4 linked regions of the Anolis sagrei genome follow. The protein of the gene in region 3 purifies or fractionates together with the protein of the main gene of each other region. This does not show direct contact. Links are inferred from orthologs where the notes say so. Each region holds a gene or a part of one and is shown on either strand. Other genes may lie near its edges.

Region 1 (7,668 bases), on a different chromosome or scaffold from region 3:
ACCCTCCAAGGCTTTTGAAGGGTCCATCAAACAGAAATAATAATAATAATAATAATCTTTATTTATACCCCGCCACCCTCTCCCCAAAGGGGACTCGGGGCGGAAAAAGTGTATTTGAGAGGAAGCCAAAAGAGATGGTTTTTTTCTGAAAATAAAGAAAGGATGGATGGATGGATGGATGGAAGGAAGGAAAGAAAGAAAGAAAGAAAGAAAGAAAGAAGGAACCCTAACCCGAATGCATACATCCCACCCAGAAGTTGGCACCATTTATGATGACCCAAGGCTTTAGAAGAGTCAATAAACTAAGGAAAGGATGGATGGAAGGAAAGAGGGTTGGACGAAGAATGGAAGGAAGGAAGGAAGGAAAGAAAGAAAGAAGTCAAGGAGGACTGATGGCAGGAGGGGAGGAAGGATGGAGGGAACGATGGGTGGAAGGAAGGAAAGGTGTAAGCATAGAGTCTTCAAACTTTTTAATCAGAGGGCCAGGTCACAGCCTCTCAAACTGTTGGAGGGCCGGATTATAATTGGAAACAAACATGCATGAATTCCTGTGCACATTACACATCTCTTATTTGTGGTGCAAAAAACACTTTGAAACAATACAATAATTAAAATAAGGAACAGTTTTAATATATATAAACTTATTAGTATCTCAATGGGAAGTGTGGGCCTGCTTTTGGCTGATGAGATGGGACTGTTGTTGTTGCTGTTGTTGTTGTTGTTGTGAGCTTTCAAGTCATTTCAGACTGAGGTTGACCCTGAGCGAGGGCTGCGTAAATGACCTTGGAAGGCCGTATCTGTCCCCCGGGCCGTAGTTTGGGGACCCCTGGCATAGAGGGATGGAAGGAGGAAGGAAGGAAAGGATAGATGGAAGGATTTCAAGAAGGGAAAATGGATGGAAGGAAGGAAAGAATGAAGAAAGGAGGAAGGAAGGAAGAAAAGGGTGGATGGAAGGAAATATGGGTGGATGGAAGAAATATGGAAGGAAGGAAGGAGGAAGAAAGGAAGGAAGTCAAGGAGGATGATGGATGGATGGAAGGAAGGAAGGAAATGCATGGAAGGATGGCAAGAAGGGAAAATGGATGGAAGGAAGGAAGGAAAGAATGAAGAAAGGGGGAAGGAAACGATGGATGGAGGGAAAGATGGATGAAAGAAGAATGGAAGGAAAGAGAGAAGGAGGGAAGTCAAGGAGGACTGATGGAAGGAAAGAAGGAAAGAGGGAAAGAGGGAAGGAAGGAAGAAAAAGATAGGTGGAAGGATGGATGGCAAGAAGGGAAAATGGATGGAAGGAAGGAGGAAGTACAGATGGATGGATGGAAGAAGAGTGGAAAGAAGGAAGGAGGAAGGAATGAATGAAGAAAGGAAGGAAGGAAGGAAGGAAGAAAAGGATGGATGGATGGAAGAAGAATGAAAGGAAGGAAAGAATGAAGAAAGGAAGTAGAGGAGGACTGAAGGAAGGGAGGGAGGGAAATCCAGGGGAGAAAGGAAGGAAAAGATAGGTGGAAGGATGGATGACAAGAAGGGAAAATGGAAGGAAGGAAGAAAGGAAAGAATGAATGAAGAAAGGAAGGAAGGAAGAAAAGGATGGATGGATGGAAGAAGAATGGAAGGAAGGAATGAAGAAAGGAAGTCGAGGAGGACTGATGGAAGGAAGGAAGGAAGGAAGGAAGGAAGGAAGGAAAGGAGGGAGGGAAATCCAGGGAAGAAAGGATGAAAAAGTTAAGTGGAAGGATGGATGGCAAGAAGGGAAAATGGAAGGAAGGAGGAAGTATAGATGGATGGAAGAAGAGTTGAAAGAAGGAAGGAAGGAAGGAAGGAAAGAATGAATGAAGAAAGGAGGAAGGAAGGAAGGAAGAAAAGGATGGATGGAAGAAGAATGGAGAGAAGGAAAGAATGAAGAAAGGAAGTAGAGGAGGACTGAAGGAAGGGAGGGAGGGAAATCTAGGGGAGAAAGGAAGGAAAAGACAGGTGGAAGGATGGATGACAAGAAGGGAAAATGGAAGGAAGGAAGGAAGGAAAGAGGAAGTATAGTGGAAAGAAGGAAGGAGAAAGGAAGGAAGGAAAGAATGAATGAAGAAAGAAAGAAAAGGATGGATGGAAGAAGAATGGAAAGAAGGAAGGAAGGAAGGAAGGAAAGAAGGGAGGGAGGGAAATCCGGGGAGGGGAGGAGGGGGCGGGAAAGAAGGAAGGAGAAAGGAAAGAAAGAATGAATGAAGAAAGGAGGAGGGAAGAAAAGGAGGGATGGATGGATGGAAGAAGAATGGAAAGAAGGAAGGAAGGGAGGGAAATCCAGGGGAGAAAGGAAGAAAAAGATAGGTGGAAGGATGGATGGCAAGAAGGGAAAATGGATGGAAGAAGAGGAGAAAGGAAGGAAAGAATGAATGAAGAAAAGAAAGAAAAGGATGAATAGAAGAAGAATGGAAAGAAGGAAGGAAGGGAGGGAGGGAGGGAAATCCGAAGGGGGGGGGTGCAGGGGGCGGGTCCTCCCCCCGGCTTCTCCCCCTCCTCCCCTCCCCCCCCAGGGGAGCACATGGCGGGCGCGTGCCCTCCTCCCCCCACCCCACCCCACCCCCAAAGGTCGGTGGGGGCGGGGCCCGAGGGACACGTGTCCTGGAAGGGGGGGAGGGCCCCTCAAGGGCACCCAGGCGCTCCCCTCTTTTCCTCTTCCCCTCCCTCCCCCCCTCTCTCTCTCCCTCTCTGTGCATGCTCAGAGGCACTCTCTACCGCGGGGGGGGGGGGGAGAGAGGGGGGTGTCTCTGCCTCAAGACTCACCGACTTCCCCGGCGGCGTGGCTGCGCGTGTCCCCGAAGGGCCTCCCTCGCAGGACGGTCCCATCTTCCAGGACCAAGCTCAGGCCTCCCCGGAGGAAGAGGGGGGTGGTCTCCATGCCTCAAGGAGAGAGAGAGAGAGAGAGAGAGAGAGCAGGGGGAAGGAGGGGGCGGGGCCAAGGCTGCTGCTGCTGCTGCGGATGCGAAGGAGCTGGGAAAGGGGGCGGGGCCCCAGCAGGAGGAAATGACTCACCCAGACTGGGCGGAGACTACCCGGTGGGGACACGCCCCCCAAGGAGGCGGGGCCAAGGGGAGTGTAGCCACGCCCCCTACTGACAGGGTTCTTCCCAAACAGCCCACCTTTGCAACCTTCCCCTTGATCATTCTTATGGTGTTGAACAGACTGCATTCACACCTGGAATCCCAATCTGGGCTCCACAACTGAAGGAAGGGGTGGGCTCTCAGCTGGAATACTGTCTCAAAGGATACAGGGTATGGAGGACAAGCCCTATGAGGAGCGGCTCAAAGACCTGCTGGGCATGTGTTAGCCAAGACAAGGCAGAGGAGAGACACAAAGGATCCAGGGTCTGGGGAACAAGCCCTATGAGGAGCGGCTCAAAGAGCAGCTGGGCATGAGGAGAGACACAAAGGATCCAGGGTCTGGGGAACAAGCCCTATGAGGAGCGGCTCAAAGAGTGGCTGGGCATGAGGAGAGACACAAAGGATCCAGGGTCTGGGGAACAAGCCCTATGAGGAGCGGCTCAAACACCTGCTGGGCATGTTTAGCCAAGAGAAGGCTGAGGAGAGGCACAAAGGATCCAGGGCCTGGGGAACAAGCCCGATGAGGAGCGGCTCAAACACCTGCTGGGCATGTTTAGCCAAGAGAAGGCTGACAAGACACACAAAGGATCCAGGGTATGGAGGACAAACCCTATGAGGAGCGGCTCAAAGAGATGCCAGGCATTTTTAACCAAGAGAAGGCTGACGAGACACACAAAGGATCCAGGGTATGGAAGACAAACCCTATGAGGAGCAGCTCAAAGAGCTGCCGGGCATGTTCAGCCAAGACAAGGCAGAGGAGAGACACAAAGGATCCAGGGTCTGGGGAACAAGCCCTATGAGGAGCAGCTCAAAGAGCTGCTGGGCATGTGTTAGCCAAGAGAAGGTAGAGGAGAGACACAAAGGATCCAGGGTATGGAGGACAAGCCCTATGAGGAGCGGCTTAAGGAGCTGAGCATGTTGAGACTGAAGAAGAGAAGGCTGAGAGGAGATATGATGAGGGCCATGTATAAATATGTGAGAGGAAGCCACAGGGAGAGGAGGGAGCAAGCTTCCTTTCTGCTTCCTTGGAGACTAGGACGCAAGGGAACAATGGCTTCAAACTACAAGAGAGGAGATTCCATCTGAACACGAGGAAGAAGTTCCTGACTGTGAGAGCCGTTCAGCAGTGGAACTCTCTGCCCCGGAGTGTGGTGGAGGCTCCTTCTTTGGAAGCTTTTAAACAGAGGCTGGATAGCCATCTGTCGGGGGTGCTTTGAATGCAATATTCCTGCTTCTTGGCAGAATGGGGTTGGACTGGATGAGGGCCCACGATCATAGAATCCTAGAATCCTAGAGTTGGAAGAGACCTCCTGGGCCATCATCCAGTCCAACCCCATTCTGCCAAGAAGCAGGAATGTTGCATTCAAAGCACCCCTGACAGATGGCCATCCAGCCCCTGTTTAAAAGCTTTCAAAGAAGGAGTCTCCACCACACTCCCTACGGGACAGAGAGTTCCACTGCTGAACGGCCCTCACAGTCAGGAAGTTCTTCCTCGTGTTCTCCCACTGTTTCGCGTTTTTTTTTTTTTTTTTAAATGAATTTATGGGGGCTGAGTTTGGGAAAGAGGAGGATTGAATCATAGGGTCATAGAATCCAAGAGTTGGAAGAGTTGTTCAGGTGGAAACTCCTCTCTTGTAGTTTGAAGCCATGGCTCCATTGTGTCCTAGTCTTCAAGGAAACAATAAACAAGCTTGCTCCCTCCTCCTCCTCCCTGTGGCTTCCTCTCACATATGGCCCTCATCATATCTCCTCTCAGCCTTCTCTTCTTCAGGCTAAGCATGCCCAGCTCCTTAAGCCGCTCCTCATAGGGCTTGTTCCCCAGACCCTTGATCATTTGAGTCGCCCTCTTTCTCTGGACACAGTATTCCAGCTTAGGGTCAATATCTCTCTTGAATTGTGCTTCTCTGGAGACTAGGACACAATAGAGCCATGGCTTCAAATGACAGGAGGGGAAGATTTCCCCTGAACATCAGGAAGAACTTCCTGTGAGAGCCGTTCAGCCATGGAACCCTCTGACACAGAATATATTTTTGTGTGTTTTCATAGTTCTTTTGGCATTTGACAGTGAATTCCACTGAAGCAGAGGTGTCATTGGGCTAAGATGACCAAACAAGTGAATTTCACATAATAATCACATAATCTGTGAAAACAGAACCAACCAAAGAAATAATGGTGAATGGTAAAAAGCCTATGGAGGCTTTGAAACAGAGGCTGGGTGGCCATCTAAAAACCTGGCTCTTCCGCTGCACCTTTTTGTTTATTGTAATGCTATTTCGTTACTGAATTATTTTAAATGTAATCCTGATGATGTTGCTTGTTGCTTATGTTTTGGTTTTATCTTGATATAATATGTTGTTCAGGCTTGGCCCCATGTAAGCCGCTCCGAGTCCCCATTGGGGAGATGGTATAAATAATAATAATAATAATAATAATAATTATTATTATTATTATGGAGTCCCCAGTGATGTAATGGGTTAAACCCTTGTGCCAGCAGGACTGCTGACCAATAAGCTGGCAGTTTGAACCTGGGGAGAGCACGGATGAGCTCCCGTCTGTCAGCTCCAGCTACCCAGGCAGGGATATGAGAGAAGCCTCCCACAGGATGGTAAAACATCAAAACATCCGGGCAACATCCTTGCAGACAGCCAATTCTCTCACACCAGAAGCAACTTGCAGTTTCTGAAGTCACTTCCGATACAGAAAAAAAAATTATTATTCTTATTATTCTTATTATTATTTTATTGTTATTATTATCAATTGCGTAATTCCTTCTCATTTCTTGTAAACAAATGCCTTGCCCTTCATTTCCTTTTACATTATTGCAAGCTATTTGGGTCTCGCTCCATAAATTCAAATAGATAGAAGAAATCCTGCAGCAGGAAGTCCCTCCGGTTCTGGAAGTTGCTGGATCAGGTCCAAACAGGGAACATCCCAATTTGCACCCCAATAGCACCAGTTCGTTACGAGCCCCTTTATTATTAGTCAAAGCCAAGAGGCAGACCTCACCCACTTGGGGTAGGAATCAAGTCCAGCCCCATAAGCTTGGATCCTGGTTGTTGTTGTTGTGGTTGTTGTTGTGGTTGTTGTTGCAAAGTCCCCTGCTTGGCTGTCCCAGTCCAGGTCCAAGGAATCCTCCCCAAATTGCCTGGGGAGACTTAAGGCAAGGGCTACGTAACAAAGCCTCCTCTCCTTTGCTGCTTCCTCATCATCATCCTCATCATCATCCTCATCTGCTTGGAGTTGGCTGAGGGTCATTCCGGCCTAGGAGGTCTTGGCCTTGCGCCGCTGAGTGGTCCAGAGCAGGACGGAGAGGGCGGTCGTCACGGCCCCCAAAGAGCCAAAGAAGAGCAGGTACGGGAAGGAGCCCTGGAAGCGAAAAAGCCGTGGCGGGGGGGGGGGGGGTGTCAGTCAATAGCAGTGCCGTCTCTAGGTGGGGGTGTCACAAAAATATCATAAATAAATATGGATTTAATATAATGTGTATGAGAATGAATGGAAGGATGTATGGAGGTCATAATTTTGCAAACACCAGTAAAAGACCCAGACCTGCAATGACAAACTACCCACTTACTGGACTATAATTAAAAGTTGCTAATGAGAAATGAAAAGTAAACTCTGATAAATGGATGGATGTATGGAGGTCATAATTTGGGAAACACCCGTCAAAGACCCAGGCCTGCAATGGCTAACTATCTGCTTACTGGACTATAATTAAAAGTTCCTAATGAGAAATGAAAAGTAAATTCTGATAAATGAATGGAAAAATGGATGGATGTATGGAGCTCATAATTTGGGAAACACCAGTAAAAGACCCGGGCCTGCAATGGCTAACTAGCTGCTTGCTGACAATAATTAAAAATTGCTAATGAGAAATGAAAAGTAAACTCTGATAAATGAATGGAAGAATGGATGGATGTATGGAGCTCATAATTTTGGAAACACACCAGTCAAAGACCCAGGCCTGCAATGGCTAACTACCCGCTTACTGGACTATAATTAAAAGTTGCTAATGAGAAATGAAAAGTAAACTCTGATAAATGAATGGAAAAATGGATGGATGTATGGAGGTCATAATTTTGGGAACACCAGTCAAAGATCCAGGCCTGCAATGACTAACTACCCGCTTGCTGGACTATAATTAAAAGTTGCTAATGAGAAATGAAAAGTAAATTCTGATAAATGAATGGAAAAATGGATGGATGTATGGAGCTCATAATTTGGGAAACACCAGTCAAAGACCCAGGCCTTCAATACTAACTATCTGCTTGCTGAACTATAATTAAAAATTGCTAAAGGGGAATGAAAAGTAAACTCTGATAAATGAATGGAAGAATGGATGGATGTATGGAGCTCATAATTTTGGAAACACCAGCCAAAGACCCAGGCCTGCAATGGCTAACTACCTGCTTGCTGGACTATAATTAAAAGTTGCTAATGAGAAATGAAAAGTAAACTCTGATAAATGAATGGAAGAATGGATGGATGTATGGAGCTCATAATTTTGGAAACACCAGCCAAAGACCCAGGCCTGCAATGGCTAACTACCTGCTTGCTGGACTATAATTAAAGGTTGCTAATG
Region 2 (7,527 bases), on a different chromosome or scaffold from region 3:
CAAGGGGAAGGCAGGGGAGGCGTGAATAATAGTAACCATAATATATTTTATTTTTAACCTCTCCCCCCGAAGGAACTCAGGGCGGTTCCCAAAGGCAAAAAATGGAAAACATTCAAGGCCATGTGCAATAACAAAAACAAACATTAAAACAAATTCAACACCTTGGCTGAAACGAATCAATCAGGCATCATAAATAACACAATAGACCAGGGGGCCACAAACCTTTAAAACAGAGGGCCAGGTAACAGTCCCTCAAACTGTTGGAGGGCCGGATTATAATTTGAAAAAAAAAATGAAAGAATTCCTATGCACACTGCACATATCTTATTTGTAGTGCAAAAACACTTAAAAACAATACAATAATGGAAATGAAGAACAATTTCAACAAATATAAAATTATTAGTATTTCAATGGGGAAGTGTGGGCCTGCTTTTGGCTGATGAGATAGGATTGTTGTTGTTGTTATGTGCTTTCAAGTAATTTCAGACTTAGGTTAACCCTGAGCGAGGGCCGGGTAAATGACCTTGGAGGGCCGCATCCGGCCCCCGGGCCTTAGTTTGAGGACCCCTGTTCTAATCTGTCAAGATCGTTTTGAATTCTGCTCCTGTCCTCTGGAGTATTGGCTATCCCTCCCCATTTTGTGTCGTCTGCAAACTTGATGATCATGCCTTCTAGCCCTTCATCTAAGTCAGGGGTCCACAAACTTTTAAAACAGAGGGCCAGGTAACAGTCCCTCAAACTGTTGGAGGGCCGGATTATAATTTGAAAAAAAATGAAAGAATTCCTATGCACACTGCACATATCTTATTTGTAGTGCAAAAACACTTAAAAACAATACAATAATGGAAATGAAGAACAATTTCAACAAATATAAAATTATTAGTATTTCAATGGGGAAGTGTGGGCCTACTTTTGGCTGATGAGATAGGATTGTTGTTATTCTTGTGTGCTTTCAAGTTGTTTCAGACTTAGGATGACCCTGAGCAAGGGCCGGGTAAATGACCTTGGAGGGCCGCATCTGGCCCCCGGGCTTTAATTTGAGGACCCCTGATCTAAGTCATTAATAAAGATGTTGAACAGGACCGGGCCCAGGACGGAACCCTGCGGCACTCTGCTCGTCACTTCTTTCCAGGATGAAGAGGAAGCATTGGTGAGCACCCTGTTTCACCATCTGTTTCCAAAAAGGAAGAAAAGGACAGGCAGAACTCTCTGCCAAAGGGGTTCCCAAGACCACCAGAAATAAGTGTTTTCTGATGGTCTTTGGCGACCCCTCTGAAACCCCCTCCCCCTGGGGTCTCTAACCCCAGGTTGCGAAATGCTGCTTTAGGGCTTTATTTGTTGTTGTTCATTCGTTCAGTCGTCTCCGACTCTTCGTGACCTCATGGACCAGCCCACGCCAGAGCTCCCTGTTGGCTGTCACCACCCCCATAGAATCATAGAATTGAAGAGTTTGAAGAGACCTCATGGGCCATCCAGTCCAACCCCATTCTGCCAAGAAGCAGGAATATTGCATTCAAATCACCCCTGACAGATGGCCATCCAGCCTCTGTTTAAAAGCTTCCAAAGAAGGAGCCTTACAGGGAGAAAATTAACTTCATGGTCAATCTTATGGTTTGCTTGTAAAATCTGTCCAACATCTCCAGCTTGTTGTTGTTCATTCGTTCAGTCGTCTCCGACTCTTCGTGACCTCATGGACCAGCCCACGCCAGAGCTCCCTGTCGGCTGTCACCACCCCCAGCTCCTTCAAGGTCAGTCCAGTCACTTCAAGGATGCCATCCATCCATCTTGCCCTTGGTCGGCCCCTCTTCCTTTTGCCTTCCACTTTCCCCAGCATCATTGTCTTCTCTAGGCTTTGCTGTCTCCTCATGATGTGGCCAAAGTACTTCAACTTTGTCTCTAGTATCCTTCCCTCCAATGAGCAGTCGGGCTTTATTTCCTGGAGGATGGACTGGTTGGATCTTCTCGCAGTCCAAGGCACTCTCAGCACTTTCCTCCAACACCACAGCTCAAAAGCATCGATCTTCCTTCGCTCAGCCTTCCCTAAGGTCCAGCTCTCACATCCGTAGGTTACTACAGGGAATACCATGGCTTTGACTAGGCGGATCTTTGTTGCCAGTCTGATGTCTCTACTCTTTACTATTTTATCGAGATTGGACATTGCTCTCCTCCCAAGAAGGAAGCGTCTTCTGATTTCCTGGCCACAGTCTGCATCTGCAGTAATCTTTGCGCCTAGAAATACAAAGTCTGTCACGGCCTCCACGATTTCTCCCTCTATTTCCCAGTTGTCAATCATTCTTGTTGCCATAATCTTGGTTTTTTTTATGTTTAGCTGCAAGCCGGCTTTTGCGCTTTCTTCTTTCACCTTGATTAGAAGGGATTAGGGCTTTATAGGTAAAGGTAAAGGTAGTCCCCTGACATTAAGTCCAGTCATGTCTGACTCTGGGGTGTGGTGCTCATCTCCACTTCTAAGCCGAAGAGCCAGCGTTGTCCGTAGACACATCCAAGGTCATGTGGCCGGCATGACTGCATGGAGCGCCGTTACCTTCCCGCCGGAGCGGTACCTATTGATCTACTCACATTTGCATTTTTCGAACTGCTAGGTTGGCAGAAGCTAGGGCTGACAGGGGAAACTCACGCCGCTCCCCGGAATCGAACCTGCGACCTTTCGATCAACAAGCTCAGCAGCTCAGTGCTTTAACCCACTGCGCCACCGGGGGGGGGGGTACCCCCATAAACCACAGGCAAAAGATTCGAGCAGGAACCCTCCAGCAAAATACTGAAAATCCACTGAACCCTGAAGGAGAAGCGAGGAGGGAAAGGGGCCCGGAAATCCCTCACCACCACCACCACCACCTTCCCTTGCGGCCCCGACCTGCAGTAACTCCTGTGCGTTGGCCACCGCGATCTGAACCTTGACCTGCTCCATCAGCGCCCCCGCGTCCATCGCGCCACCACCCGCCGCCGCCATCTTTGCAGCGCATGGACCCTGGAAACACTTCCTCTTCCGGCCCCGCCCACTTTCCCACACCATAGAGGCACGGGTACGAAGACGCTTTTATACACTTCCGGTGCTTTTCGACATTTACCCTCCCTCCTCGCCCCGCAAAGGACTGCCAAAAAAAAGGGCAGCCAGAGAAGTCAGCCATAGCAGACCACCTGATGAACCAACCTGGGAACAGAGTATTATTAATGTATCGTCGAAGGCTTTCATGGCTGGAATCACTAGGTTCTTGTGGGTTTTTTCGGGCTATATGGCCATGTTCTAGAGGCATTTTTCTCCTGACGTTTCGCCTGCATCTATGGCAAGCATCCTCAGAGGTAGTGAGGTCTGTTGGAATTAGGACAATGGGTTTATATATCTGTGGAATGGCTGGGGTGGGGCAAAGATCTCTTCCCTGCTGGAGCTAGGTGTGAATGTTTCAACTGACCACCTTCATTAGCATTTGAAGGCCTGTCTGAGCCTGGGGGAATCTTTTGTTGAGAGGTGTTAAGATGTGCCTGATTGTTTCCTCTCTGCTGTTTTGCTGTTATAATTTTAGAGTTTTTTTAATACTGGTAGCCAGATTTTGTTCATTTTCATGGTCTCTTCCTTTCTGTTGAAATTGTCCACAGAAAAGTGTTCCTGCCATACATCAAGGGAACCGCTGACAGCTGATAAGGAAACACAACATACAAACAATCTATTTATTTATTATTTATTTAAAAGTTTTGTATACCGGCCTTCTCACCTCTCTTGAGGGACTCAGACCGGTTTCCAACCATAATATCACATACAATCAAAAAAACATCATAATACATATTACAGTAAAACATTAAAACAGCAATTACAATCAATAACTACAATGGTCAGTCGTCACACTAAAATCGTTGCTCATCATCCTCCATCCATATCTCAGGGTGTTGGCTCACTCTTCGAATGCTTGTCTCCATAACCAAGTCTTCACCTGTTTCCTAAATGTCAGGATAGACGGGGCGGTTCTGATCTCCAGTGGCTGAGAGTTCCAGAGTCGAGGGGCCACCACCGAGAAGGCCCTGTCCCTCGCCCCCACCAGACACGCTTGTGAGGCCGGTGGGACCGAGAGCAGGGCCTCTCCAGACGATCTTAATAATCTTGATGGTTCATAGGGGAGAATACGTTCGGAGAGGTAAACAGGGCCGGAGTCGTTTAGGGCTTTATAGGTTAACACCAGCACTTTGAATCTACAGACACAAGAAAATCCAACAAATGCTCCGTTCAGCAAAGGACAAGAGGGATCCTCTCACCTCTGCAGGAGTCTACCGTGTACCATGCAGCTGTGGACAAGTCTACATAGGGACCACCAAATGCAGCAGCGCCCAAACACGAATCAAGGAACATGAAAGGCACTGCAGACTACTTCAACCAGAGAAGTCAGCCATAGCAGAGCACCTGATGAACCAGCCTGGACACAGCATATTATTTGAGAACACAGAAATGCTGGACCACACCAACAACCACCATGTCAGACTACACAGAGAAGCCATTGAAATCCACAAGCATGTGGACAATTTCAGCAGAAAGGAGGAGACCATGAAAATGGACAAAATCTGGCTACCAGTATTTAAAAAAACTCTAAAATTACAACAGCAAAACAGCAGAGAGGAAACAACCAGGCACATCTTAACACTTCTCAACAAAAGATTCCCCCAGGCTCAGCCAGGCCTTCAAATGCTAATGAAGGTGGCCAGTTGAAACATACACACCTAGCTCCAGCATAGAAGAGCTCTTTGCCCCACCCCAGTCATTCCACAGATATATAACCCCATTTTCCTATTTCCAACAGACCTCACTACCTCTGAGGATGCTTGCCATAGATGCAGGCGAAACGTCAGGAGAAATGCCTCTAGAACATGGCCATATAGCCCAAAAAAACCTACAAGAACCGAGTGATTCCAGCCATGAAAGCCTTCGACAATACAGAGTATTATTATTTGAGAACACAGAAATGCTGGTCCATTCTCACAACCACCAAGTCAGACGACGCAGAGAAGCCATTGAAATCCACAAGAAGCATGTGGACAATTTCAGTAGAAAGGCGGAAACCATGAAAATGACTACACCTGGCTTCAGATATTAAAAAACTCCAAAATCAGGATAGAAAATAAGGAGCAACACTCAAAAAACAGGGGAATTCCAGACGGGAATCAATCAGGGCCAGCTCATACCTCCCAACAAAAGATTCCCCAGGCAAGAAGCAGCCAGGCTTTGAAGGTGCAAGGCCATTCAGTGCTAATCAAACAGACAAGAGTTTGTAATCCCACCCTGGACATAATTTCACAGCAGGCATGTAGCCTGGGGGGGGGGGGGGGGGGGGGGGGGCGCTTGGCGGGCTTCAGCCCCCCCCCCCCAAATTCTCATGATGGTCCGCGAAAAGGCCTTACTGGTACATTATTTAAACTGTTATGTTTATTCATATCATGATCTGATCACCATACTCAATATATCCCATATGCATGGGGGTATTGGGGTAACGATACAAAAAGTTTGCTAGGGTAGACCCTCTTTCACTCAGACTCAGCCCCCTCTCGAAACAAACTCAGCCCCCCCCCCCCCCCCGAATCGAAATCCTGACTATGGGCCTGTTCCACAGGAATATAAACTCCACTTACTGTGTTTCCAATAGACCACACAATCTTTAAGGATGCCTGCTAGAGATGTGAGCAAAATGTCAGGAGAGAATGCTTCTGGAACATGGCCAGGCATCCCAAAAAACCCACAGCAACCCAACAGAAGAATAAATAGAATAATAAAAATCTGGATCTATCTATATCTATATCTTCTATCTATATCTATATTCTATATCTATCTATATAATAATAATAATAATAATAATAATAATAATAATATAATATAATAATAATAATAATAATAATAATAATATATATAGTAATAGTTTTAAGCTGCTGGGCCAGGAAGACAATTAGCTGGGTTAAGACAAGCCGTTTTAAAGTGTTTTAAAGACTGGATTCCTGTAAGTGCTGACTCCATTCTGACTTCGGATTATTTTTGGATGGACATCTCATTTTGACTTAATCTTCTGCTTTTGGACGTGCTATGGGCTTGGGACAGTTTTTTGATAATATAATGTAATATAATGTAATATAATATAATATATATAGTTGTTGTTAGTTTTATCACACCAACAGTCAACAACAGAGGGAGAGGGAAGCTTCAGAAGGTCCCCCTGTCCCGTTTGGAGGTTTTTTCACGTATTGCGCAATCGTGTCCGCCATTAACGAATCGATTCGTATATTTATGAAATTTCATAAATATCGAAAATATGAAATCTGAAATTTCAGAAATCCTTTCAGATTAGAAATGTGGGCGCCCCCTAGATACGAAATGAGTTTAGAACCAATTTTTTTCTTGATCAAGCAAGCCTAATATCTATCTATCTATCTATCTATCTATCTATCTATCTATCTAGCTTGAGGACCCGGCACTGCCCGGATTATTTGAGATAGCCATTGTTTTTCTGTTCTGTAGTTTTAGTCTAGATCTAATGTCTGGTGGTTCAGTGGGTGCGGGTGAACTACAACTCTCATATGCAAGTCCCATCGTCCATAGTACATCCTGCTCCACACTGCACCAGGATGGTGGGTGGGTCATAGGGGCTTTGTGTGTCAAGTTTCTTCTTGATCGGTCATTGGTGTGGGTCGCAGTGGTCTCAGGAAGTGAATGAAGGTACTGCAAACCCCATCATCCATGGTGCATTGTCCCACAAACCACACAAGGATGTAGAGCGGGTCTCTTTATGCCAAGAATCTCTTTATGCCAAGTTCGATCTTGCTCAATCATTGGTGTAGATCGGAATGGTCTGAAGAAATGAGTGACGATACTGTAATTCCCATCATCCACGGTCTAAAGTGTTTCACACCACTCCAGGATTTAGAGTGGGTTATGGGGGCTCTGTGTGCCAAGTTCGATCTTGCTATGTCATTGGCGAGGGTCACAGTGCTCTCATGAAGTGTGTGAAGGTCCCATCATCCATGGTGAATCCTCCTTCAAACCACAACAGGATGTAGAGTGGATCATGGTGGCTCTGTGTGCCAAGCTTGGTCTAGATCAGTCATTGGTGAGGGTTGCAGTGGTCTCAGCAAGTGTGCTTAGGTACTGCAAGTTCCATCATCCGCAGTCCATCCCCCTCCAAACTGCACCAGGATGTAGAATGGGTAATGGGGGCTCAGTGTGCCACGTTTGGTCTTTATCGGTCTTTGTTGGGGGGCACAGAGGTGTATGAGGCCCAAAGGGCTTGTACTACAAATCCCATCATCCATTGCCCATCCTCCCCCAAACCTCACCAGTTTGTAAAGGGTTAATGGGGACTCTGTGCCAAGTTTGGTCTTGATCACTCATTGGATGAGGGTCTCAGCAGTCTTGGGAAGTGAGTGGAGGTACTTCAGTTCCCATCATCCGTGGCCCATCCTCCTCCAATCTGCAGTAGGATGTAGAGTGGGTTATAGGGGTTCTGTGTGCCAAGTTTGGTCTTTATCTGTCTTTGTTGGGGG
Region 3 (6,836 bases):
CAATAGCCTGCAGCTCCACTTCTGTCAACCACCTCCACCAAGTCTGGCCTCCTTAATGAGAGCATTCAACACACACACACTCAACTTGGTTGCTTCACTACATCGGCTATTGCTGCAAGTAATGACAGTGTGAATAAATTGTCAATATTTGCTTGAGATAGTGCTTACAGTTCTGGAGGGACTCTTCATTTTTTTGCATCTCATAGACTTAGCACGGGGATATGGTTAACCAGTTAAAATTCATGAGTAAACCAGGTTTTTAAAAAAAATCTGAAACATTTCGGGGGGGGGGGTTGAACCCCTAAAACCACCCCCTCGCTACAGGCCTGCAAGACACCTAACAACCTAATGTATGTCCTCCACTCAAAAAAATAGATTTTGTCATTTGGGAATTGTCGTTGCTGGGATTTATAGTTTACCTACAATCAAAGAGCATTCTGAACTCCACCAATGATGGAATTGGGCCAAACTTAGCACACAGGGCTCCCATGACCAACAGAAAAAAACTGGAAGGGTTTGGTGGACATTGACCTTGAAATATAGTTCACCCACATCCAGAGAGCACTGTGGACTCAAACAATGATGGATCTGGACCAAACTTGGCACGAATATTCCATATGCCCAAATATGAACACAGATGGAGTTTGGAGGAAATAGACCTTGACATTGGGATTTGTAGTTACTGGGATTTATAGTTCACTACTATTAAAGAGCATTCTGAAACCCACGAACGACAGAATTGGGGCAAACTTCCCACACAGAACCCCCATGACCAACAGAAAATACTTAAGGCCATCCAGTCCAACTCTCTTCATCAGGGCAAGAAAATGTAATCAGAGCCCTCCTGACAAAGAGCCATCCAGTCATAGATATAGATAGATAGATATGATTCACACACACACAGATATAGTATCATAGATTTGAAAGAGACCCTTAAAGGACAATGATATGTTGCATATTCCAGAGTAGGCAAACCAGACACTCTCCACATCAACACTGACAAAGAAACAACAAGAAATACTGTTTACTCACAAGCATAAAGGAATTACGTATATTAGAAACCAACACTTTCTCATTACTTTATTTTCCAGATCACCAGACTGGGCCACAGCAACGCGTGGAAGGGGACCGCTATTGTTTAAAATTTCCAGTTAGGGGTTAAACTGAGGCAGAGGCTAGATCTACACTGCCATATAAAATCCAGATTACCTGCTTTGAACTGGATTATATGGCAGTGTAGACCCATATAATCCAGTTCAAAGTAGAAAATCTGGATTATCTGATTTGATAATCTGGATTATATGGCAGTGTAGAAGGAGCCTCACCAAGGTACAACTCCCAGGATCCCATAGCACGGAGCTATTGCAGCCAAGGTGGAATCAAACTGCGTTAATTCTATAGTGCAGAGTTTTATAAGGTGGGTTTGTGCATGCAGTTTAAGGAAAAATAGTTACACTCAGAGACACCAGACAAAACTATTTCAAATATTTAGAGCCTCTTCCTGAGCGGAGAGGACTTTAGAGGAAATCACGGGTGGTCCAGTAGCCAATCAAGAAGCAGAAGCTTTTCGGAAGGTCATGTGGGGGCGGAAGAGGCCCACGGAGGAAAGTTTGGTGTGCGTGGATGACGTCACCTTCTTGCCTGGGAAGAGGCCCGCGCATGCGCAGTTGTATATAGTAGTTTTACAGTGTCCAAAATGTTTTGAGAGATCACAGAAGCTATGGTAATCACTTGAAAGCCAATTAAATATATTCAAGAGCTAGTATATGTATGTGTACCACACACACACATATATGCAATAATCATAGTTAATTTTTCGATTTTATATTTCCATTAGAAGATGCAAATCCAGGGAAAGCTGGGTACCTATGGTACCCTTCAATTAAAGTTTTAGTTTAATTGAGGTGGCACAGTGGGTTAAACCCCTGTGCTGGCAGGACTGAAGACCGACAGGTTGCAGGTTCAAATCCGGGGAGAGGCGGATGAGCTCCCTCTATCAGCTCCAGCTCCTCATGCGGGTACATAAGAGAAGCCTCCCACAAGGATTATAGAAAACATCAAATCATCCAGGCGTCCCCTGGGCAACGTCCTTGCAGACGTTGGCCAATTCTCTCACACCAGAAGCTACTTGCAGTTTCTCAAGTCGCTCCTGACACGACAAAAAAAAAAGTTTTAGTTCTCAGCCTCTCAGCACAGATGAATACAGGCAAATTATTTTCAAAACGAGTAGATTCGTGTTATCTCAAACCCCATGGGTATTTTAATGTGGATATTGAAGGTTATGTGTGCCAGGTTAGGTTCATCAAGCCTATCTATTGACTTTTATATATCACTAGCCGTCCCCTGCCACACGTTGCTGTGGCCCAGTCTGGTGACCTGGAAAATAAAGTAATGAGAAAGTGTTGGTTTCTAATATATGTAATTCCTTTATGCTTGTGAGTAAACAGTATTTCTTGTTGTTTCTTTGTCAGTGTTGATGTAGAGATTGTCTGGTTTGCCCACCCTGGAATATGCAACATATCATAGTCCTTCTTTAAGGGTCTCTTTCAAATCTATGATACTATATCTGTGTGTGAGAGAGAGAGAATCATATCTATTTATCTATATTTATGATTGGGTGGCTCTTTGTCAGGAGGGCTCTGATTACATTTTCTTGCCCTGGTGAAGGGAGTTGGACTGGATGGTCTTAAGTATTTTCTGTCGGTCATGGGAGTTCTGTGTGGGAAGTTTGCCCCATTTCTGTTGTTTGTGAGTTTCAGAATGCTCTTTAATTGTAGTGAACTATAAATCCCAGGAACTACAAATCCCAAATGTCAAGGTCTATTTCCTCCAAACTTCATCTGTGTTCATATTGGGCATATGAAATATTTGTGTCAAGTTTGGTCCAGATCCATCATTGTTTGAGTCCACAGTGCTCTCTGGATGTAGGTGAACTACAACTCCCAAACTCAAGGTTAATGCCCACCAAACCCTTTCAGTGTGTTCTGTTGGTCATGGAAGTCCTGTATGCCATGTTTGGTTGAATTCCATCATTGGTGGAGTTCAGAATGCTCTTTGATTGTAGGTGAACTATAAATCCCAGCAACTACAACTCCCAAATGTCAAGGTCTATTTCCCTTAAACTCCACCTGTGTTCATATTTGGGCATATGGAATATTCGTGCCAAGTTTGGTCCAGATCCATCTTTGTTTGAGTCCACAGTGCTCTCTGGATGTAGGTGAGCTACAACTCCCAAACTCAAGGTCAATGCCCACCAAACCCTTCCAGTATTTTCTGTTGGCCATGGGAGTTCTGTGTGCCAAGTTTGGTTCAATTCCATCGTTGATTGAGTTCAGAATGCTCTTGATTGTCGGTGAACTATAAATCCCAGCAACTACAACTCCCAAATGACAAAATCATAATTTTTGAGTGATGGTCACTCCTTGTGTTGTGAGACGTTTTGTTGCCAAATTTGGTGTGATTTCGTTCATTGGTTCTTTTGTTTTTAAGGTACTCATTATGCACAGAGCATTTTTATAGATAGATAGATAGATAGATAGATAGATAGATAGATAGATAGATAGATAGATAGATAGATAGATAGATGTCTGCCTAGCCTACAATGTACATCAGTAAGGCTTTCTGGAGAAAAGGGGCGTGGCCTCCTCCTCCTCCAGCTCCCCCGCCTTTTCATCTCCCACGTTCTCCCGCCTAGACTGAGGCCAGACGGGGAAAGCAGCCATGAGGAGGCGTGGCTTCCCGGAAATGCCAGCCGCCGATTGGTCGACACTCCCAAATAAGGCGTGGCCAGTGGCCTCGCGCCCCCTCCTCGAAGTTTTTCGGGGCAGTCTGTGCCGAGCGGTGAGGGAGGCCGGAAGTGGCCGCAGCAGCAGCAGCGACTCTTTTCTTCCCCTTGACAGGTGGGTTTCTTCGCTTGGCTGGTTGAGGCCTTGTGCGTGTGGGGAGCCTTTGTCTGAACGGAGCGGGGGCGGCCGCCCTTTTCCCTCCCTCCCTTCCTACCTCTTAAAGTTGGCCTTTATCCCTATCTCGGTTCTTTCTCAACGACTTCCTCAAACTTAATTTCGGGTTTTATGTTCAGTTAGACTCCCAGGGCTTTTTGGCTGAGCTTTGGCGTGTGCAACCGTCTCTTCAGCGTCCCCACAGAGAGGAGAAGAGAAAGGAGTCAGAATTAAAGAGTTTGAGGGCTAGCTCAAGTCCCCCCAGCATCCTGTATTAGTTCACATCTCATCAGTCTCTAGTCCTCATTACGAGAAATAGTTACTTTTGTTCCCTGAGGAGCCAAGTGGCATCATCTCCCCATCTTCCAGGTGCCTTTTCCCATTCATTTCCACCCCCAGAAGAACTCCCAAAAGTTTCCCTCTGAGGGTGCATCTACACCAGGAGTCCTCAAAGTTTTTAAACAGAGGGCCAGGTCACAGTCCCTCAAACTGTTGGAGGGCTGGATTATAATTTGGAAAAAAATTGAATCAATTCCTATGCACACTGCACATATCTTATTTGTAGTGCAAAAAACACGTAAAACAATACAATGATTAAAGTGAAGACAATTTTTAACAAATATAAACTTATTAGTATTTCAATGGAAAGTACGGATCTGCTTTTGGCTGATGAAGTAGGGTTGTTGTTGTTTTGTTGTGTTGACCCTGAGTGAGGGCTGGGTAAATGACCTTGGGCCTTAGTTTGAGGACCCCTGATCTACACTGTAGAATGAATGTAGTTTGACACCAATTTAATTGCCATGACTCAGTGCTATGAGAGTTGTAGTTCCACAAGGTCTTTGGCCTTCTTCTACTCTGTCGGAGAAGGCCAAAGACCTTGTGGAACTACAATTCCTAGGAACTACGACTCCTAGGATTCCATAGCACTGAACCAGAGCAGTTAAAGTGGGGTGAAACTGCATTATTTCTTCAGTGTAGATCAGGCATGCAGCTGGGGGGGGGGCTTGCCCCCCCCCGAAATTCTCATGATTGTCCGCGAAAAGGCCTTACTGGTGCATTATTTAAACTGTTACGTTTATTCATATCATGCTCTGATCACCATGCTCAATATATCCCATATGCATGGGGGTATTGGGGTAACGATACAAAAGGTTTGCTAGCGTTTGCTTGCCCCCCCCCCCCCGAAATTCTCATGATTGTCCGCGAAAAGGCCTTACTGGTGCATTATTTAAACTGTTACGTTTATTCATATCATGCTCTGATCACCATGCTCAATATATCCCATATGCATGGGGGTATTGGGGTAACGATACAAAAGGTTTGCTAGCGTAGACCCTCTTTCACTCAGACTCAGCCCCCCCCCCCCCCGAATTGAAATCCTGGCTAGGGGCCTGGTGTAGATGTACCCAGAGTTACTCAACTGAGGGCAGTACCACACGGCCATATAACCCACAATATCAAGTCAAAAACCCCACAGTATCTGCTTTGAACTGTGTTGTCTGAGTCCACACTACCATATATTCCAGTTCAAAGCAGAAAATGTGGAATTTTATTCAACTCTGTGCCAGGGGCCTGAGGGCCCTTTTGGACAGGCCCTATATCCTAGGATCTGATCTCAGGTTTTCTACATTAAACTGGATTATATGAGTTTGCACTGGGATAAACAGAAAACCTGGGATCAGATCCTGGGATATAGATCCTGTCCGAGCCCAAGTGAGGCTTTCAGTGTACAATCGACCTGCCTGGTTTATGGGCCATTATGGGAAGGGATCCAGCCAAAACATGAGATGATTAGTGGATGGAGAGAAGAGAGTGATGTGTTAAAAACTCTATAAAGTTCCAAAGGTAGCAATTGAGATCATGAACTGTCAACTAAACCTTTCACTCGTTTTTGCTCATTTTCTTGTCTCTTTAATATCTACTTTCATGGGTACATCTTTAATTCAATCATGGGCAAACTTTGACTCTCCAGGTGTTTTGGACTTCAACTCCCACAATTCCTAACAGAATTTTTTGGAGTTGAAGTCCAAAGCACCCGGAGAGCTGAAGTTTGATCATGCATGATCTATATCCTGTAATTAATGCAGTTTGATCCCACTTGGTTCATATGGTTCAATGGTTGACATGGTTTAATGCTATTTAATCATAGGAGAGGTAGTTTTACAAAGCCTTTATTATTTTCGGCCAAAGGATGTGGATGCCTCACCAAACTGCGTATTCCATAGTATTGAGCCATAGCAGTTAAAGTGGTGTCAAAGTGTGTTAGCTCTACAATACAGATCCAACCCAAGTCATCTTCAGTTTATGGAGACCCAACTTCCAAGTCACTGTCATCAACAGCCCTTGTAAATTCAGGTCTGTTGCTTTTCTGATTGAGTGTTTCTCATCTCTGTTCTAGGTGATTTTATTTCTTTTGTAAACTGCCCTGGTTTTCCTTCCTTCCTTTTTTGGTTAAAGTGGGAAAGATGAACCTGCTACACAATACTTTGTGATTGATATTGTGGGGAGGTGCCAATCTAAAAGCATCCTTGGCCTCAAGAGGCCAAGCCAGTGCAATTGAGCTGCTTTATAAAAACGCACATTATTTTCGGCTGTCCCTAAAGTAGTGCCAAATGCGTTGGAGCACTTTTGGGCAGACAGCTCCTGGCTATCAGTCAAAAGGCCTGCTGCAGCTGTTCCATCACTTCCTCCTTAACAGATCTTTTTGTGGAAAGAAAATAAAGCAAGGAGCAAGGGTGAGACAATTATAAATGGAAGATGACATCATTGTGACCCCCTGTACAACTCTGAGAATGAGACAAGGGGCCTGAACACAAACAGAGGCCCACTCGAATGAAAGAAAGTGGTTTCATAACCCCTTTCAACCATGAAGCTTATGGGATTACATTGGGAAAGTTG
Region 4 (7,518 bases), on a different chromosome or scaffold from region 3:
TCCAATTCTGGGCAGTGGTGCTAATCTCCATTTCTAAGCCAAGGAGCTGGCATTGTTCATAGACACCTCTAAGGTCATGTGGGGTTGGAGTGCCATTACCTTCCCGTAGAAGTGGTACCTACTGATCTACTCACATTTGCACTTTTTCAAACTGCTAGGTTGACAGAAGCTGGGGCTAACAGGAGGCCTCGCCCCAATGCCCTGATTCAAACCACTGATCTTTCAGTCAGCAAGTTCAGAAGCCCAAGGGTTAACCCACTACACCACCGGGGGTTTACACATATAAAACATCACATATCAAATCAGCCACATATAGAAATAGATTGAAACCATTAAAACTACAAAATTATAACAATCACAACATACCATAAAACATTAGGTCTTACATCGATCCCAAGATTATCTTTAACTACTTCATATTTCCATACTCCTGTCATATTGTGGGTTATATGGCTGTGTGGAAGGGGCCTGAACCCACACTGCCATATAACCAAATTCAAAGCAGATGTGGGATTTTATACAGCTATGTGGAAGGGGCTTATGGAGCACCCACCACTATGTAGATCAGGGGTCCTCAAACTAAGGCCCAGGGGCCGGATACGGCTCTCCAAGGTCATTTACCCAGCCCTCACTCAGGGTCAACCTAAGTCTGAAACCACTTGAATGCACACAACAACAACAACAACAGCCCTAACAACAACAACAACAACAACCCTATCTCACCAGCCAAAAGTAGGTCCACACTTCCCATTGAAATACTAATATGTTTATATTTGTTTAAATTGTTCTTCATTTTAATTATTGTATTTTAAGTGTTTTTTGCACAACAAATCAAATATCTGCAGTGTGCATAGGAATTCATTCATGTTTTTTTCCAAATTATAATCTGGCCCTCCAACAGCTTGAGGGACTCTAACCTGGCCCTCTGTTTAAAAAATTCAAGGACCCCTGATGTAGAGCATAGTGGTGGACTTAAACTCCCACAATTCCCAACAGCTTGGAAACTGTGGGAGTTGAAGTCCAAAAACACCTAGAGGGAGGGCCAAAGTTGGCCCGTGCCTGATGTAGAACTATTATACCCGGACCCCTGTATCCACAGATTTTCCATCTATGGAAGTGACAACGAAGGCGATCGTAAGGCTGATGGGGCCCTACATGGGCAGGACACCCCTGGCCATGCCCGTTGCCAGGATTTTGATTTGGGGGGGTGAGTTTCATTCAAAGGAGGGACTGAGGATCTACCATAGCAAACCTTTTGTATCATTATCCCAATAGCCCCATGCATATGGGATATATTGAGCATGGTGATCAGTTCATGATATGAATAAATATAACAGTTGAAATAATTTAAGCCCCATGCATATGGGATATATTGAGCATGGTGATCAGTTCATGATATGAATAAACATAACAGTTGAAATAATGTATCAGTAAGGCCTTCTCGCGGACCACCCAGCTGCGCCTGTATCTTGGGAAGTCTGACTTGGCCACGGTAGTCCACGCTCTGGTTACATCCTGCATAGACTACTGCAACGCTCTCTATGTGGGGTTGCCTTTGAAGACTGCTCGGAAGCTTCAAATGGTCCAGTGCTCGGCAGCCAGGTTGCTAACAGGAGCGGCACCAAGGAGCACACAACTCCTCTGTTGCACCAGCTCCACTGGCTGCCAGTTTGCTACCGGGCACAATTCAAAGTGCTGGCTGTAGCCTATAAAGTCCTAAATGGCTCTGGCCCTACTTACCTCTCCGCACGCATCTCCTCCTATGAACCGACTAGGACACTAAGATCATCTGGGAGGCCCTGCTGTCGGTCCCGCCTGCATCACAGGCGCGCTTGGCAGGGACGAGAGACAGGGCCTTCTCAGTGGTGGCCCCTCGGCTGTGGAACGCCCTGCCTGCAGATATCAGATTGGTCCCCTCCCTGCTGGCGTTTCGGAGGAAAGTGAAGACCTGGCTGTTCGAACAAGCATTTGATTAAACAGTGTAATTGAATATAGGAATACGGAATAATGAATGACGAGACTGGATTCTGATTTTACTGTTGAGGTGCTAATGATTGTTATACTGATGTTAATGTTTTATGTGATAATTGTTTTTAATTGCCCTATATTTGTTTTATGATATTTTGTACTGATGTTGTTCACCGCTTTGAGTCGCCTGAGGGCTGAGAAAAGCGGTATAGAAATAAAGTAAATAAATAATTTCGGGGGGGGGGGGGCTGAAGCCCCTCAAGCACCCCCCCCCCCCCCGCTACATGCCTGCCCCTGGCTTTCCGTGGCTCCTTCACCTTGGTCAGTTAGGCACCGTGTGTAAGCAAGTTTGGACTGCTTTGGAATTAAGTTTATTTCTCCTGAAGCAGGTTCCTACCCCATGTTTTGCAAGTTAATGTGAGTAGAGTTTGGGGGTTGCTTACAAAATTTTGTAAAAGGCAGATACTTCTTTCAAACTTTGGAAGGATTTTGCCCAGCATGGGAGGAGGAGGCGGGGAGGGGCTCCCCCACGTTCACAGCAGGAAAGGGCAATGGGAGGGGGGGTGGCGGGGAGGCCCCCACCGGGGGACACGCGGGAGCAGCGCGAGCCAAGGGCACATCCGGGCCTCCCAAGCACTTTGTTTGCCCCCCGATCCCCGCAAAGCCCTGCCCCCCGCAGGCCCCTCAGACTCACCGAGCGGTACCCCTCGCAGTCCATGGCGCGGAAGGATAGGAGGAAGAGTGCCCGCCCGCCACCTTGCCTTGCCTTGCCCTGCCCTGGCTTCGGAAGGAGCCGCGGGCGGAAACGGGGCGGGCCAGGAAGCGCCTCTGGAAAGTCCCTAGAAACCCAGCGGAGACGGAGAGGGAGGGGAGGGAAGGCAGGAAGGGCACGCCTCTCTTCCCTCACAACTCTTTCAGGCGGCAGGGAGGGAGGGAGGGCGACAAGGCCCCCAGCCACACCACCTTGAGGGGAGCTCCCAGCGTGGCCCCCTCGCGACCGACACTGCGCCACGCCCCTTCCCCTCCCTCGCGCAGGGCTTCCTCGCAATCAGCTGACTGCCCGGATGAAGGAAGCGGGGCCTCCTCCCTGACAGCAGAGAGGGGGCGGGCGCAGGTTTCCCAGGCAACGGAAGGCGCGCGCCCTCCTCTCCCCCCTCCCTCCTTCCTCTCGCCCCTCCCTCCTCCTCCTCAGCCTGAAAAGCAGGGAAGTCAATCTAGGGGCCCTTCCACACAGGCCTATATCCCAGAATATCAAGGCAGGAAATCCCACAATATCCGCTTTGAACTGGGTTATCTGAGTCCACACAGAGATAATATGGGATTTCCTGCCTTGATATTCTGGGATATAGGCTGTGTGGAAGGGCCCTGAGTCCGCACTGAGACAATATAGGATTTCCTGCCTTGATATTCTGGCATATAGGCCTGTGTAGAAGCAGAGGCAGCCCTAGGTAATTTTCAATGGTAAGCAAACAGTATTTTGGCGTCCCCCCCTCCAACCAATCACTGATATATATTTTGTGTTCGCCATGGGAGTTCTGTGTGCCATATTTGGTTCAATTCCATCATTGATGGAGTTCAGAATGCCCTTTGATTGTAGGTGAACTATACATCCCAGTAACTACAACTCGCATAAGTCAAGGTCTATTTTCCCCCAAGAGCGCCTCAAGAGCGCCCCTGGGCAAAATCAACTATACTGCAAATGCTTACTTTGCGTAATGGGTTGAGCCGCCCCTGTGTAGAAGGGTCCTGAGTCCACACACAGATAATACGGAATTTCCTTCCTTGATATTCTGGGATATAGGCCTGTTTGGAAGGGCCCTGAGTCCGCACTCTGATAAATATGGGATTTCCTGCCTTGATATTCTGGGATATAGGCCTGTGTGGAAGGGCCCTGAGGTAGGAGGTCACTGGGCAAGAAGAAAGGAACACATGCACCCATTCATGTAAGCATGTTTATATATTATGAGGGGTATTTTTTAAGTAAGGTCCATTTGAACATAAGTACACAACGAAAGTTTATTTCAAAAAAGTAAATTTGTTTTCAGAAAGTACATACTTCACTCTATTTTTCAACATAGTTGCCAAGTTTGTTCAAACACTTATACCTCCCAAGCACCAATTTTAACATACCCTCTTCATAAAAACTTGCCGCCTGCTCCGATAACCAAGAGTTCACTGTAATCAAAGAAGGGCGACCAGAGCGGTCCTCATCATGGACATTGTCACGGCCATCTTTGAATTGTCGTACCCACTTACGCACTTTGCTTTCACTCATAACAGTATCACCGTACACTTCACAAATCTGTCGATGAATTTCTGCAGCAGGCAGGTTCCTTGCTGACAAAAACCGTATCACTGAGCGAACCTCACATGCGGAGGGTGAGTTGATAGTCTTAAACATTTTTAAAGCACAGAACAGAACCGTACAGGTTAGCTGTTGTTGTTGTTGTTCATTCATTCAGTCGTCTCCGACTCTTCGTGACCTCATGGACCAGCCCACGCCAGAGCTCCCTGTCGGCCGTTACCACCCCCAGCTCCTTCAAGGTCAGTCCAGTCACTTCAAGGATGCCATCCATCCATCTTACCCTTGGTCGGCCCCTCTTCCTTTTGCCTTCCACTTTCCCCAGCATAATTGTCTTCTCTAGGCTTTGCTGTCTCCTCATGATGTGGCCAAAGTACTTCAACTTTGTCTCTAGTATCTTTCCCTCCAGTGAGCAGTCGGGCTTTATTTCCTGGAGGATGGACTGGTTGGATCTTCTCGCAGTCCAAGGCACTCTCAGCACTTTCCTCCAACACCACAGCTCAAAAGCATCGATCTTCCTTCGCTCAGCCTTCCCTAAGGTCCAGCTCTCACATCCATAGGTGACTACAGGGAATATCATGGCTTTGACTAGGCAGATCTTTGTTGCCAGTCTGATGTCTCTACTCTTCACTATTTTATCGAGACTGGACAGGTTAGCTACAGAGTAGAAACTGAGCTCAGTTGTTCCCGAGGCATGCCGGTACACGATGCACGCGCTCGTTGCACTATGCGCATGGACTACTAGTGTCTACAACAAAACGGACCTTACTATTCAGAACAGTCTTCTCTAAAGCATGTACAGGCAGTTACAGACATGCAATGGCTCCTAGTTAAGAATGGGGATGAGTGTTAGGGATTCCTCATCTTCAGAAGGAGAAGGAGAGAAGGGAAGTGCTCAGGAATTGGAGGGAGAAGAAGAATCAGACAATGAGATTTTGAAAGTGTCCACATTTCTAGAGAGATGAAAAGAGACAGAGCACAGCTAGAATAGCTGCTAAAAATGCTGAGCTAATTGGGAGATGCCCTAGCACCTCCTGCATGGGCTATAAATCAGAAGCAGGAGCAGTCAGCTTTTGCTAGTAACAATGATCCTGATACTGATGTTTTCACTCCAATGGAACCTGCTTTGTGTCTGCTGCTAAGGACTTCGTGATCATTGCCCGTTGTCTGAAGGAAGACTGCTGTTTCTTTTGGGACTTTGTAAGAGACTTTAATTTGTGTCTTGGATTAAGACGTGCTTTCTTTTGCACTATTCAATTTTCCTATCCTTTGTGTCTGCTGAAGTAAAGCATTTTTCTTTTACTTTCAATATTGTATAAAGCCTGTTTTTGAAGGACAACTCAGGTCAGATTGTTACCAGCCCTAATTTTTTACAGCCTTAACTTTTCAGCCAGCCATAAATCTGTCTGGCCATGGAGGAGGTCAAAGATTTAAAACAACAAGTGGCTGCTTTAAAGTTAACTGTGGAGGAGTTGCAGGAGGTGCTAGGGCATCTCCCAATTAGCTCAGCGTTTTTAGCAGCTATTCTAGCTGAACACCGTCTGTACTCTGTCTCTTTTCGTCTTTCTAGAAATGTGGGCACTTTCAAAACCTCATCGTCCGATTCGTCTTCTCCCTCCAATTCCTGAGCACTTCCCTGCTCCCCTTCCTCTTCCAAAGATGAGGAATCCCTAACAATGAGACAACAAGGAAGTGAGAGGAAATCTACCTCTAGAAAGGAAAAATTAATTTCTCGAAAAGGTGTCTCCACTGAAGCCTTCTTGCCAATCTTTATTTCCACACAAGCCAATTTTTTTTAAAAAAATCAAATTATCACAGGTGTTTGTTTTTCTATCTGTGTCCCTGTTCAGGGGAAATCTGAACAGGGACACAGACAGAAAAGCAAACACAAGAGTGTTAACCCTTCCCTATACTATCCAAAGCTTGTATACACACACACAGTTGTGTAACTGTGTGTGAGTGGGTGGGTGTATAGCTGGTGTTACACTTAAAAATGGAACTTGGGGACTGCCTGTATATGCCAGTTTAATTCAAAGCAAGGTCAAACATGGAATGACATCCCAGAGCAAGCCTGTGAGCACTCCATCATCACACCAAGTCCCCCCTCCTTTTGTACCTCTTTATGTTGGAAATGACAACCTTCTTCAAGCCTTCTCTAGTAATGTTTATCTATGACCCTGTTGCTGTTTCCTGCATGTTCTGGTATGCAGCTTCCATCATGGTTCCTGAGAAGTTACAAAAGGAGCTGACAGAACACATACATTTTCTTCTCTCTCCTTTTGATTATGTTGATAGCAGTTTTGTTGTAAGAGATGTTGTGGATGGCACAGAGAATTGTCTCAAACACACCTGAAACTGGACTGATAAGTTTTGTACCTGTGTATGCTGGACACATGAAGGCTGTGAGTAAACCAAATATGTTATTTTTTTTATCAAAGTCTACTTTGTTTTTGTCTCTTGAGTGCATGGTAGAAAACAAGTTGTTTTATGGGAGTCTATATATTTTTGGGCAACCGAAAAACACTTCTAAAGCTCTGCTGTTTTTATGCACTGGCAAATCTGTTTTCCTAACAGATCAGAGACAGCATGTTATTCAGTCTTAACAACTGAAACTATTTCCTTGCATAATTATATCTTCCATGGGATAGTAAAACATCTGGGCATCCCCTGGGCAAAGTCCTTGCAAACGGTCAATCTCTCACACCGAAAGCGACTTGCAGTTTCTCAAGTCACTCCTGGCACAAAAAACTTACATAGTGGTGAGAGGTTGCGTGCCGCTCTATATTGTGAATCGTATTCTAAAGTGTAGTCTGAGTTCCTATCTGTATACAAGAATGTAGAATTCATTTTTTAATTTACACACATGCTTACCTATTTCCTTTCTTAAAGATAATTTCTGCCTCTGCTATTTCTCATCCTAAGTGCCTAAACAATCCTAATTCAGTTTATCAGTAGCTGTTATACTATTCTCAGTCAAAAGACAAACATTGGCGCATTTGTCTGGCAACCCTATTTTGCATATTTTAAAGTAAAGCTTGGCAATCAAGATAAGTCTTGGGCCACTCACGAGGTGTGCAAGCAGCGTGTCAAGTGTTGACAGATGTAGATGAAAGAACACGTCATAAATTGCTATTTGGTATACCTATGGTTTGATGGCAACCCAGAGATCAGTCAAGTGATTGTTAGTTTTGTAAAGTGAAAAGTCAGGATATATTGGCATTTGATCAGCATAAGTTGAATAATTTGGT

Evidence for each region.
Region 1: the proteins of MAP3K14 (region 3) and CAD purify together in Homo sapiens (affinity purification with mass spectrometry; 3 studies listed by BioGRID and IntAct, with this or other methods). This does not show direct contact. The link is inferred for Anolis sagrei from reciprocal best matches to the Homo sapiens genes MAP3K14 and CAD.
Region 2: the proteins of MAP3K14 (region 3) and TIMM13 purify together in Homo sapiens (affinity purification with mass spectrometry; 3 studies listed by BioGRID and IntAct, with this or other methods). This does not show direct contact. The link is inferred for Anolis sagrei from reciprocal best matches to the Homo sapiens genes MAP3K14 and TIMM13.
Region 4: the proteins of MAP3K14 (region 3) and NFKB2 purify together in Homo sapiens (affinity purification with mass spectrometry; 6 studies listed by BioGRID and IntAct, with this or other methods). This does not show direct contact. The link is inferred for Anolis sagrei from reciprocal best matches to the Homo sapiens genes MAP3K14 and NFKB2.

The regions. Positions count from the first base shown.
Region 1 is NC_090021.1:519,540-527,207, forward strand, and holds the start of CAD (multifunctional protein CAD), read right to left. Parts: upstream 3,002-7,668; 5' UTR 2,888-3,001; coding exon 2,773-2,887; intron 1-2,772. Other genes in the region: ATRAID (all-trans retinoic acid-induced differentiation factor), read right to left, coding at 6,351-6,455. UniProt on the Homo sapiens protein: Multifunctional protein that encodes the first 3 enzymatic activities of the de novo pyrimidine pathway: carbamoylphosphate synthetase (CPSase; EC 6.3.5.5), aspartate transcarbamylase (ATCase; EC 2.1.3.2) and dihydroorotase (DHOase; EC 3.5.2.3).
Region 2 is NC_090034.1:62,746,111-62,753,637, forward strand, and holds the start of TIMM13 (mitochondrial import inner membrane translocase subunit Tim13), read right to left. Parts: upstream 3,013-7,527; 5' UTR 2,969-3,012; coding exon 2,873-2,968; intron 1-2,872. UniProt on the Homo sapiens protein: Mitochondrial intermembrane chaperone that participates in the import and insertion of some multi-pass transmembrane proteins into the mitochondrial inner membrane.
Region 3 is NC_090026.1:46,369,315-46,376,150, reverse strand, and holds the start of MAP3K14 (mitogen-activated protein kinase kinase kinase 14), read left to right. Parts: upstream 1-3,810; 5' UTR 3,811-3,899; intron 3,900-6,836.
Region 4 is NC_090023.1:147,141,010-147,148,527, forward strand, and holds the start of NFKB2 (nuclear factor NF-kappa-B p100 subunit), read right to left. Parts: upstream 3,011-7,518; 5' UTR 2,687-3,010; coding exon 2,663-2,686; intron 1-2,662. UniProt on the Homo sapiens protein: NF-kappa-B is a pleiotropic transcription factor present in almost all cell types and is the endpoint of a series of signal transduction events that are initiated by a vast array of stimuli related to many biological processes such as inflammation, immunity, differentiation, cell growth, tumorigenesis and apoptosis.